3 linked regions of the Ovis aries genome follow. The protein of the gene in region 3 purifies or fractionates together with the protein of the main gene of each other region. This does not show direct contact. Links are inferred from orthologs where the notes say so. Each region holds a gene or a part of one and is shown on either strand. Other genes may lie near its edges.

Region 1 (4,220 bases), on a different chromosome or scaffold from region 3:
CTCAGGCCACGCAAGAGACCAGGTGTTAAGTGTTCCAGCCAATAGCTTCATTGGTTCCAGCTGACAGCCACCAGCAACCGTCAACCACGTTAGTGAGCAATTTGATGTTCCTAGTGCCCAACCTTACAGCTGAAGCCGAAGGGAGCAGAGACCAGCTGTCCCAGCTAGAACCACCCCAAATTGCAGATTTGGTGTAAAGTAAATGTTGATTTAAGCCACTGAATTCTGGGACTGTTTGTTAAACAGCAAAAGATAACCAGAAGTGTTTTTAATGTCATCTCTAATTCCCACTAAAAGCCTGAAAAGTAGGTACTGCTGTTTCTTTTTGATAGATGAGTAAACAGGTTCCAAAGGTGAAGTAACTATGGTTTCGCACTGTCAGGGCCAGGATTTAAGAGCTTCAAAAAAAAAATAGGCCTCCACTTCTCCATAGTGGCTTGCGGATAGAAGACTTTGTAAAGAACACATTTTACCCAGTATAACAGACAAAAATAAAAAGTTTTCATAATTGTTTTCTCTGCTGCCAAGACTCAGGACGGGAACTCAAGAGCTCACTCACTGCCCAATGGGCTGATTTCACAAGTGAAGCTTAAAGAAAGCAGGCTCATTGAAAGATATGTAGATTTCGCTATCCTTCCACGAGAAAAATGACGTTTCCCTCCACAGTCACGTATCATTTCATGGTCCCACGAGGCAGAAACGGGCTCGTGAAATTCCTGCAGACCGGGCTCACACGCGATCCCCGTTAAACCTTTCCTCCCAGCACGGCAGTTACTCTCATTGCTCACAGAGGAGGGGAATCATATTGATATTTTTGCCTCTTTGTGGCCCTTGTCTGCCGGTCCCAGCACTACGTACTAAGCGCTTGACATCTGCAATCTCATTTTCAGCCAAAAGCACTTGCACTTCCCCTTCCCGTGCAGACTAAGGAAAGATTCAGGTTACGGGGCGGGAAAGAACATTTCAATGAATGTGTCAGTCGCCCGTAGCTCATTCAAAAGCAACCGTGGCAGTTTTATTAACACAGCAACGCGTAATCTCGCTTATTCCTCATACACATAGATCATTGCAGTAAGAAGAGCGGAACTCAGTCAGAGCTTTGCCCAACATCACACCACCAGTTAAAAAAAAAAAAAGTCGAGGTTCGAACACACTCCGGAAGGCTCCACGCTCCCAGGTTCGCCTAACACAGAATCCCGCTCCCGAAGCCTCAGGGTTCTCCGCCGAGAACGGATCGTGCAAACGCAGCAGCCGCCGCGTTCCCAGGTTGCGGCCCCCAACCCACTTCCCGGCCCCGGCTGCCTTCCTCGGACGGCCGCCGGGCGGTGACGGAGGGCTCCAAGCTCCGCCCGTCCCGTCCTCCCCGGCCGCCCCGCCCCGAAGCGCGCGTGGGAACGCGGCGTCCTCCCCGGGGCTGCCCGCGACGACTGCCTGCGCGCATCCGGGAGGGCTCTCCCGGCGCCCGGCCCGGTCTCCACCCGCCGCCGCGATCGCCTCCCGGCCTCCGCCTCCCCGCCGCCGGGCGCACGCAGGGGCCGGCGCCCTGGGAGCGCGCCGCCGTGCTCCCCTTTTCCGGCCGGCACCGCCGCGGACACCTCACATCCGGGCGCGCGGCGGCGAAGGCGGTGCTGGGGCCCGGGTGCGTGGAGGGAGTTATTAAGGGGGAGGGGGCCGGGGAGGAGGGGCGGAGGGCTGGGCCGCGGTTACGGCGGCTGAAGGGAGACAGCCGGGGCGGGTGGGGGGGCGAGAGCGAAGGCCGCGCGGAGCAGCGCTCGGGCCGGCGCGGGCGGCGGGGAGGGGAGCGGCGGCCGAGGCAACCAGTAAGGGCCGGGCGGCAGCGGCGGGGTCCGGGGCTCCGCGCGCCTGGGCCCGCGGGGAGAGAAGGGGCGCGGGCGCGCTGAGCCCCGGGGTCGCGTGCGTGAGCGCGAGCGCCGGGGCGCGCGCGGGGGGCGGGCAGGGACCGGAGGCCAGCGGGGCGGCTGGCGGGCAGCGGGCGGGCTGGCGGGGCCCGAGCCGCCGGGCCGGGGCGGACGGCGGCGGGCCTGCGCCGGCTCCAGCTCGGAGCGCCGGGGCTGGGGGATTCGGCCCTCCCGCTCCCTCCGGCCCGCCTCCCCTCAGTGAGTACCGTCCCCGCCCTTCCTCCGAAGGCGGCTGCTGGGCCGGGGCCTGCGCGAGAGGCCGGGGGTTGGGGTCGCGGCCCCTTTGGATCTGAAGCCGGCGCTCGCCCCTTCCTTGGCACGGGCGCCCCTGACATGTCCACAGGTGCGGCGGGCCGGGCGAGGGGAGCTGTGGCCCCGTCCCCAGTCCCCTGCCTCCGGTAACAAGGGGCAGCTGGCGCCGTCCATTGGCAAGTGACAGGCACTTGCCCACTGCGCGACTTCCCCGATCCCAGCCCGTCTCCTACCTGCCCCCACTTCGGGAAACTTCCCCACTACCGCCGGACGGCCCTCACGAGTGGCAGCGACCAGTCTCGGTTTCTTTTTGTATTAAAGCTGCTTAAAGGCTGTCGCCTGATCTGGGCCCGTTCCGCTTCTGCTTTCCTTAGCCTGTTGATGCTTAGAGCTCTTTACGATAAGAGATATCCAAGTACCAGTGGTTTTGTTTCCAGTGGGTTCTGGTTTATAGAAAGGGTTTTTTAAAGGGAGTCCGAGATAATTTCAGTTTCTTAAACAGTGAGGACTCTTAAAAATTTATTGTTCTCGGTGACAGTTTTGTGCTGATTTCTTCCAGGTGCAAAAAACTGTCAACCAAGGAGCCATGGATAGAAGTGTGGGTGAAACAGAAAATGGAGATGCTTTTCTCGACCTGAAGAAGCAACCCGCTTCCAGATCCCCCCATCGCTATACAAAAGTAGGCTTTGTTACTAATGAAATAGTGTTTCTTTATAGGTGAGGAGATTGGTAACATTGTGCAGAAACTTCATTAGTATCGTTTAAAGAGGTAGTCTCATTCTGACTAACTATGTGGACTAAATATTAACTAGACTTAGTAAAACATTGCTTTGAACTTTTTTTCTGAAAGTACAAACACCCAGACTTTAAAATTTGCCCCTAAGTAGGCTTCCACTGAGAAGAAGGCAATGGCATCCCCACTCCGGTACTCTTGCCTGGAAAATCCCATGGAGGAAGGAGCCTGGAAGGCTGCAGTCCATGGGGTCTCTGAGGGTCAGACACGACTGAGCGACTTCCCTTTCACTTTTCACTTTCATGCATTGGAGAAGGAAATGGCAACCCACTCCAGTGTTCTTGCCTGGAGAATCCCAGGGATGGGGGAGCCTGGTGGGCTGCTGTCTCGGGTCGCACAGAGTCGGACACGACTGAAGTGACCTAGCAGCAGCAGCAGGCTTCCACTGAAGGCTGCCCAGATCCTCCCTGTGTGAATTTGTGGATCAGAATATGTTGGCACTTCCCTGGTGACTCAGTGGTACAGAATCTGCCTGCCAACGCAGGAGACCAGGTTTCGATCCCTGAGTGGGAAAGATCCCCTGGAGAAGGAAATGGCAACCCACTCCAGTAATCTTGCCTGGAGAATCCCATGGACAGAGGAGCCTGGCCAGCTACCATCCATGGGGTCGCAAAGAGTCGGACAGGACTTAGCAACTAAACAACAACGAATGTGTTGGCGCACACTTTGTGTAACAGCTGTGCCGCTGACTTACAGGCCGTAGAGGAAGGATTCCAGCTCTGGGATGCCTCACAGACATCAGTGTCCTCTGTGCTGATGTTTCCTTGAGAGCTGAACTCACAGGAGTACTCTGGTATGCTTGCCTGGGGAAACCAGATTTTTAAATTCTTTTTACGTGCTGTTATAAAATGGATATGGACTCAAGAAAGTAAGACTTCGATCATATTTCCCTTAGCTGAAGACTTGTGGTGATTTCAGCTCCTTTAGATGCCTGCTTTTCCTGAGGTGGTCGGGGGAGGAATCACCTCAAGGTCATGTGTTTATCGAAGCTATTGCTCCACTGTCTTGTGGGCTCCTGGCCGTTTCTGAAGCAGTTGATGCGAGCATTGAATTCTTTCCTGGTTCCCCGAAATGTTTTGGGCTGTAGTGCATTAAATGTGCTTGGGACTGCTGGTGGGAAGCGTTATGCCCCAGTTGGGCCTTGTATCTGTTACTTCTCTTGTATGAGCCCAATCAAGGACTCTAATGTGGTGGTTGTCCCAGGCTTCCCAGGATGCTGACTGGTTCGTGTTTTAAACTCGGGCCTTCTGTGTGCG
Region 2 (4,220 bases), about 12 Mb from region 3:
CTGGAGGGGATGTGGAGCACCTAGAACTCTCACGCATCACTGATGGAAATGCAAATTGGTAGAATACCATAGGAAACTTTGGGGCAGTTTCTTATCAAGTTAAACATACACCTAGCATAGGACGCGCAAGCATGTCCTCCTAGCTTGACCCAAGAGAACTGAAAGTGTACATCTACAGAAAGGTTGGGACACGATGGTTTATGGCCTCTTTATTCATAACAGCCCTAATCTGGAAACCACCCACATGTCCACCAAGAGGAAAATGTGATCCAGCAATACAATGGAATACTCCTCAGCAATAAAAAGGGCTGGACAATCGTTATATGAGACATGAACGAATCTTGAAAACATTATGCTGAGAAAAACAAGACAGGCACAAAAGAGCACATACTTTTATTGGAAAATTTAGCAGCTGAAAAGATACACTATAGTAACGAAACAGTGATTGCTTCTGGGGTTGGGTGGGAGGGCGGTGTTGAAAGGGTCGTGAAGGAACTTTCTAGGGTGATGGGATACATTCCCCAAGTAGCAGTTACCTTCATTCAACAAGTAACTTTTTCTACAGGTCGAGGGAAGCTACCTGGAGGAGGTGGCGACTGAGTTATGCCGGGACTGACTCATGAAGGCCAGACGAAGGGGGTGGGTGTTCCAGCATGGGTAGGACTTGGCAAAGGCCAAGTGCTTGAGTGGGGTCACTGGGTTTTAAAAACTTGTAACAATTAAGTAGAGGGCTAAAGATTAAACACCTCGACGCCTGAGTCCCATTTCTGACTTGATTCAGGATCACGGATAAGACCTCTTTGAGCCTCTCACTGCTTCAGTTTTCCATCAGGAAAATGGGCACAAGCTCCCTTATTTCCCGTTGGATTCCCTACAAGCTGGGAGAAGCCACAGAGTGAACGGTGAGTGACAGTTTGTTTGAGCCAATCTCTGGAGCCTAAAGCCTGCTTTCCTTTTTCGTGGGCCAATCGTCACGTTCTCCTTGAGGCCAGCAGCTTGGCGGAGGCAGGCCGAAAGCCTCATGACGTCACATTGCTAATAAACCAATAGCAGCTATTAAGAGGCGGGTACTTTTGGTGATAGTTCTATTTCAAGATGTCCGCTTAGCGCAGGGTCCGCCGGGAAGCTTTGAGGCGGTACGGGAGAAGGGGCGGGAACTCCCAGTAGATTCTGCCCAATCGTCAGTCGCGCTTCTTGCGATAGACGGGCAGTCTTTCCCATCCCCGTCGACTTAAGGGGGCGGGGTTCGGCACGCCAGAGTAGGCGGGCACCTCAGCTTTGATGGGTGTCTCCTTCGCCCAATGGCTAAATGGTATTTCCAGACGGGTCACCTCCTCTACCAATGAGATCTCCTGGCGGGGTCGCGGTGGGCGGGCCGTAGACCCTCCGGTATAAGGCGGTCCCGGGGGAGTGCGGAGAAAGGGGGGGGGTCTCGGCGGCCGGAGGAGGAGTAGACGCGGGTGAAGATGGCGGCAGCCGAAGCCGCGAACTGCATCATGGAGGTGAGCGCCAGGAGCGCCACCGGGGGCGGGGGGCGGTTTGGAAGTCGGTGTTTTACGCCTCCGCCGTGGGGAAGGGGCTCTGAGTCGCCGGATTGGGGTTGAAGGCCCCTGGCCGTACGGAGGGGGGCGCCGCGTGCTCCGTATCCGAGGATACCGTTTGAACTGCGGGTTCCCTAGCTTTCGGGGGCCTGAGGCGCCACGCCGAGCCGAGGGCCTACTGCCCCCTCCCACGTGGAGGAGGGCTGGGGGCGCTTCCGGCCTGGCCCCCACGTGGCCGTGGCACGGTGGGTGGGGAGGGGGTGTGCCGTGCCCGCTTGCCCGGCGGGTTCCACGTGCGGGACAAAGGCCCCGCCCCCGGCCAGGGGAGGGGCGCCCCGGGGGGGGGCGGAGAGGAGGCTCCGACCCTCCCTCCGAGGCCCCCTACCCTCCTCCCCGGGGATCGTGACGGGCACCTCGGGGTGGGGACCTCCGTGCAGTAATGAGGCTCTTGGGAGGGGCAGTGTGCCTCGACCCTTAACAAACCCTTTCCTGGGACCAGGGCATCTGCTTAGGCATCGGTCCAGGTTTCGTGCGCTCTTGCGTTGGGATTGGAGGAAGACGAAGAATTGGTTCCCTCTGGGACCCCTCCTACCCTCCAGTTTCCTGTCTCTGGATTCTCCCCCTCTTTGGGAGCTGGGGGGATGGGGCATGCCCCTGTGACCTCCCTCTGGTCTATGGGGGGGCATCGAGCGGAAGATCTTTCCCGATTAGGCGCTGTGCACCCCCTTGTGGCCATTTCTGGGTGTGTGGGAGGGACATCTTTTTCATGGGGCGTGTCTCCAAGCCCCCCTCCCTGTCGAAGCCCTCCCGGGCGAGGGGAGAGAGAATCTGTCCTGGGAAGGGCTGTGAGGTAGTGGAGGCAGCGGATTTACCTCCTTCTGGCCCTTCCTCTCCCTGGGGTATTTGTGAAGATGGGAGTTGACCACCTCCTCCCTGAACCCGTGTTTGAGGGTCCTGAACCTGCTTGCGTGAAATGGTGTCCCGTGAGGTGTGATTCTCTTGCAGTTATGTGGGGCTTGCCATGATGCTGTGTCTCAAGCGCTCTGGGGGCATGTCTGGCGGTGATGTCGGTGGTGTAGAGAAATGGGCCCTCAGGGGAAGTCCCCTCACCCGCCGTCTTTCCGTATCCGCGTCATTCACTGGTTTGGGGAGGATGGAGGTGGGGCTTGGAGCCCAGGGGTTATGTCTGTGATTTCACGCTTCTTGGCGCCTGGAGAGTGCTTGCATCTGGAAGAGCTGTAATCTGTTGGGCCCTCCGTACTCTCACCTCTTAGCTTGTAGCAGTCTCAGGAATGGGAGGTGAGGTTCCAAGATGCATACCTTGGGGGGCAGCCCCAGGGGTCACTCCAGTGACTCCCCCTTGGCTCTCTGCTAGACGAAGGCCTTCTTGGCTGGAGGAAATATCTTCCTCAGAGGTGGATCCAGGACTCGGCCCCTCCCCTGGGGAGTTTCTGGGCCTGAGATGGTGGTTCGAACGGGGAGTAGATGGGCTTGGGGGTCCAGGGTCTGGCCTCCTCCGTGGAACTCTGCCCTCCTGCGCAGAGGGTCATAATCAGGAGATTGGCACTCCCTTGTTTTGTTTGGGACTCCCTGAGTCCCAGGCAGGAGCTAGCAGCCCGCATGCCAGCTCTGGTGGGGGGTGCCCGTGTGCCACACCTCCTTTCTGGAATCCTCTCAGATGAGAGAGTGCTTTGCAGAGGTGACAGATGCCCAGTGGGTACACCCTGCCAGTTCCCTTCCCCCAGCTCGAATGGTACCCCAGGATGAGGCTTTGTGTCAGGAAGTGTCATCTAATCTGGGGAGATTAGATGGTGAGGGGGAGTGACAGCTGGCAGTGCCCTTGTGCCCGGCGGGTGCCAGTTCCTCTGGCCTGGATGGGGGAGGCGTGTGTGCTCAGGTGCCTGGCCCAACAGGGGCAGTGTGGGGGCAGGCCACCATCTCTCCAGCCACAGCTGGGATAGAACCCCCTCCCTGCTCCCCCACATCTCCCCCACCCCTGTTGAAAACAGCCTTGCCTCTTTACTTGTTCCTTCTCCCACCACTGCTCACAAAGGAAAAGCAAAATTGTAGGAAACACCTCCTTCTTGCCCAAGAGCCCGGGTCGCCTGGCCTGGCCCTCCCCTAGCCGCTCCTGGTAGCTAATCCTTTCTCCCTGTTACTCTCTCCTAGAATTTTGTAGCCACCTTGGCTAATGGGATGAGCCTCCAGCCGCCTCTTGAAGAAGTAAATATCCTTTTGTGAGACCCCTTCCCACATACACATTTCCTCACACGTCACGCCCTTTTTAGTGGTCTAACTGATCCCTCTGGCTTCAAACCACTTTACCCTTGGCCCCCGAAACACTTAGTCCAGACTCCGTCCAGGTTTGGGCCCCCACCTGGCCTCTCCCAATACTGTGGCTACTTCCTTAACTCCATTTACAGCCCCCCACCCCACCTTTGTCCTTCCCTGTGTCTGCCCCGCTTCCGCCTTCCTCTCCCCTCCCTTCCCCAGCTGTGGGCTGAGCTAGAGACGGGGGCAGACAGACTGGAGAGATGGTAGGCCTGGCTGAGGTATCGGGGGTGCCCTCCTGGATGGTGCTCTGGGGGTGGGGGGTTCCTGGGCGAGGCAAGACGGCAGGTGGGGGCTGTAGGGTTGCCATGGTACGGTTTGGGGAGTGGTTCTGTATACTCCATGGGG
Region 3 (3,500 bases):
CCTCCACGGCCACGGTTTGGACGAAGCGGGATTCCAAATGTTTCTGCATTTAATCTTCTCTCTTCAGCCCAGGTTGGTCTCCGCTCTCTATTATGAGGACAAATAATCTTTAGTATATCAAGTTTTTTTTTTTTTTTTGGTAGTGTATCAACTTTTAAAGAACATTTGCCAGCAAGACTATGAGGCACTTAATTTCCAAACTGAGGCTAAATAATTCCTAAGCATCAAAAAAAATCACAAAAGACAACAAAAAAACCTACAAAAGTACCTCATCTAAGTCATCACAAGCTATCCATGGCAATATGGTCCTACTATATTCTGTTACACTTCAAGTGAAAGTCTGACTGGTACTGTTTATTGCAAATGCAGCTGATGATACAAAGAAACTGGAGAGCTTCAAAAAATGGGATTGGTAGTTGACTCTACCCTCCAATCAGCCTCAAAGGAAGAAAGGGAAAGGAAACCCTGCCTCAGGATGGGAGGGGATAAAGGGTTGATTCCCTAGATCCTACTAGGCTCCTGGTCTAACCTCTGGACCTGATGCCTAAAGCTTCTGAATCACTGCTGCTGGCCGACAGCCCAATCAGATTCAGCACCATCGCCATCCATGTTTAAACTGAAGCAGACAACCACCACTGGGTGGCACCAAAATGCAACAGAAGGCAGGCCTGAGCCAGGCAGCAGAAACCGCAACTTTGTTGTGCTGAGTCCTCTAACCAACCAGTTTTCTGGATTCATATTTACTGCAATAGAGCAGAGTTTTACTACATCAGCAAACTTCAACTGACCTACACTGTAGAGGGATAAAGTAAAAGGTATTTAGATGTTAGACGAATGCTTCTATTTTTTTAATTACTAATTTTCGAATGTGAATGCACCCCCAAACAAAAATAGATGATTATTTCTTCTTTTCCAAAAGTAGTATCATTTAAAATTTTAGTATTAGTTATCTTCTTTTATCAAAATATTAAAAAATTGTAGTTATTAGATTTTTTTGGGGGGTTGCACCACACAGCAAGTGGGATCTTATCCAGGGATCAAATCCATGCCCACTGGGAAGCATGGATCCTTAACCACTGGACCATCAGGGAAGTCCCTAGGGACTTTTAAGTATTCATTACACTTTGTGAATTTATCAGGAATCACTTCACACTTCAACCTCCTAATTGCATAACAGCAGCTTAAAAGACTGTACCTATTATCATCACAAGAAATATTATCAAAGAAGGATTTAGTTTTGTCATAATAGCAATTAGGTCCAAGTGGATCTTCTTCATCTGCATTTCCTTCACTGTTCTGGGTATCAACTCCTGAGTCTCCTTTATCTTCACCATTGACAGGCTTCTCCTGCTTCTCAAGTTTATCTTCTAATGAAAAAAAAAAAAAGGTACATACCATATAAGTCAAGATGTGGCCTAAATATCCATAATTCACATGGTCAGAAAAGAGTATTCTCTGAGGAGAAAAATAAAAACTCACCTTTCAATTTAAGTTTATTATGAAACTCTCTGTCAATTTCCTCCTTGTTAAATTGTGCATTTGCACTTTCAAAGTCAAAATCTTTCTCAAATTTCATTGGACCATCTCGTCGAATACCAAATCTTCCTCTGCCACCTCGATGACCCCCACGCCCTCTCCTTGGAGCTGAAGGAGCACCTGGAACTATATTAATAAAGAATAAGCTGGTTTAAAGCAGAAGCTATTATTATGGTCTTTATGGTCAACAACAGAAATGCTTATAAGTCTCTATATACCTGACTATATTTGTATTTAATATAAAAAAGAGATGAAGTTTCACAAATAATTAATACATAGTAGACTGAGAAGAAAGTGAAAGTCGCTCACTCGCAGCCAACACTGTAGACTATACCGTCATGGAATTCTCCAGGCCAGAATAATGGAGCGGGTAGTCGCTCCCTTCTCCAGGGGATCTTCCCAACCCAAGGATCAAACACAGGTCTCCCGCACTGCAGGCGAATTCTTTACCAGCTGAGCTACCAGGGAAGCCCAAGAATACTGGAGTGGGAAGCCTATCCCTTCTCCAGGGGATTTTCCTGATCCAGGAATCAAACCGGGGTCTCCTATACTGCTGGTGGATTCTTTACCAGCTGAGCTACCAGGGGAGCCTCCTGAGACTGAAAAAAGTGCACATAAAATTTATAAATATGAAATGTATAAATGTCCTTAATGAAATTTATTCCTATGGGGTCTGTATTCAAACATGCTGCTGATACAGTATGGTAGTAGTGGTTTAGTTGCTAAGTCGTGTCTGGCTCCTGCGACCCCAGGGACTGTAGTCCGCCAGGCTCCTCTGTCCATGGGGTTCTCAAGGCAAGAATACTGGAGTGGGTTGACATTTCCTTCTTGAGAGGATCTTCCCAACCCAGTGATTGAACCTGTGTCTCCCTCATTATAGGTAGATTCCCCACCAATTAAGTTAGGGCTGATACTGTATACAATCAAACAATTTGGGAGATTTCTGCACTACATTACTTTGTTCTGCTTATATCCCTAATACCTATGAAGTGTCAAATGTATACTGGGTTCTCAAAATTTAAGAAGCCTTTTATGGAAAAAAATCATAGAAACCAAGATTTACAGGGAGAAAAATAAATGAGCACATTAGCACAAACTGCAAGAGACCTCAAAAGACAAGAAGCACCAGATCTCAACCCCTCCAACCACTTCCTGCTTCACCTTTACGGTCTCTCTCTAAATAGATCCATATTATTCAAGTCTTCCTGTATCTATCCTTTCTTTACAATTTAATACAATAACAAGATTTATGAGGCATGGTAAAGCAATACCAAAGTAGCATAAATTACAGTAAAAACCTGAGACTCCAAATAAGAGGAACAGTTAAGAAAACAAAATTATAAGAGAAACATGGAATAGTATTTGACGAGTTGACAGAAAAATATGGGCTCCCCTGGTGGCTTAGAAGGTAAAGACTCTGCCTGCAGTGCAGAAAACCTGGGTTTGATCCCTGGGTTGGGAAGATCCCCTGGAGAAGGGAATGACTACCCATTTCAGTATTCTTGCCTGGAAAATACCGAGGACAGAGGAGTCTGGTGGGCTACAGTCCACGGTGCCACAAAGAGTTGGACAGGGCTGAGTGACTTTTTTTCACTTTCAACAGAAAACTATAAAAGCAGGATGAATTCAATGATTATAATTATGTGAAATGTATAACACATAAAGACTGCACAGTAATAGACATCTCTGTGCTCACTAGTCTCTAAATAAAACTTTGCAATTGTCCAAGTTTGAGAAAACAAACCACAAATATCCTCAGCAGTATAGCCAGACACTTAAATGTGGACAGGCAGGATGCTTAAATATTCAGCTTTACTACTGAAAATGTCTTGGCCACAAGCCAGCAAGTACAGCATGATATTTATGTTTTAAATTTTGAAAGGCAGCGAAAGATACTTTTATTTATTGTTTGACATGATTTATTTATTTGCTTGCTTATTTGGCTGTGCTGCATAGCTTGTGGG

Evidence for each region.
Region 1: the proteins of LSM14A (region 3) and EIF4ENIF1 purify together in Homo sapiens (affinity purification with mass spectrometry; 3 studies listed by BioGRID and IntAct, with this or other methods). This does not show direct contact. The link is inferred for Ovis aries from reciprocal best matches to the Homo sapiens genes LSM14A and EIF4ENIF1.
Region 2: the proteins of LSM14A (region 3) and PRMT1 purify together in Homo sapiens (affinity purification with mass spectrometry; 3 studies listed by BioGRID and IntAct, with this or other methods). This does not show direct contact. The link is inferred for Ovis aries from reciprocal best matches to the Homo sapiens genes LSM14A and PRMT1.

The regions. Positions count from the first base shown.
Region 1 is NC_056070.1:70,131,064-70,135,283, reverse strand, and holds the start of EIF4ENIF1 (eukaryotic translation initiation factor 4E transporter), read left to right. Parts: upstream 1-1,420; 5' UTR 1,421-1,639; intron 1,640-1,745; exon of another isoform or gene 1,746-1,820; intron 1,821-1,955; exon of another isoform or gene 1,956-2,262; intron 2,263-2,730; 5' UTR 2,731-2,757; coding exon 2,758-2,850; intron 2,851-4,220. UniProt on the Homo sapiens protein: EIF4E-binding protein that regulates translation and stability of mRNAs in processing bodies (P-bodies). Plays a key role in P-bodies to coordinate the storage of translationally inactive mRNAs in the cytoplasm and prevent their degradation.
Region 2 is NC_056067.1:55,810,054-55,814,273, forward strand, and holds the start of PRMT1 (protein arginine N-methyltransferase 1), read left to right. Parts: upstream 1-1,420; 5' UTR 1,421-1,466; coding exon 1,467-1,502; exon of another isoform or gene 1,503-2,514; coding exon of another isoform or gene 2,515-2,529; intron 2,530-2,709; exon of another isoform or gene 2,710-2,840; intron 2,841-3,708; exon of another isoform or gene 3,709-3,710; coding exon 3,711-3,764; exon of another isoform or gene 3,765-3,768; intron 3,769-3,962; exon of another isoform or gene 3,963-4,075; coding exon of another isoform or gene 4,076-4,078; intron 4,079-4,220. UniProt on the Homo sapiens protein: Arginine methyltransferase that methylates (mono and asymmetric dimethylation) the guanidino nitrogens of arginyl residues present in proteins such as ESR1, histone H2, H3 and H4, FMR1, ILF3, HNRNPA1, HNRNPD, NFATC2IP, SUPT5H, TAF15, EWS, HABP4, SERBP1, RBM15, FOXO1, CHTOP, MAP3K5/ASK1, MICU1 and NPRL2.
Region 3 is NC_056067.1:44,136,686-44,140,185, reverse strand, and holds part of LSM14A (protein LSM14 homolog A), read right to left. Parts: intron 1,663-3,500; coding exon 1,480-1,662; intron 1,368-1,479; coding exon 1,196-1,367; intron 88-1,195; coding exon 1-87. UniProt on the Homo sapiens protein: Essential for formation of P-bodies, cytoplasmic structures that provide storage sites for translationally inactive mRNAs and protect them from degradation. Acts as a repressor of mRNA translation. May play a role in mitotic spindle assembly.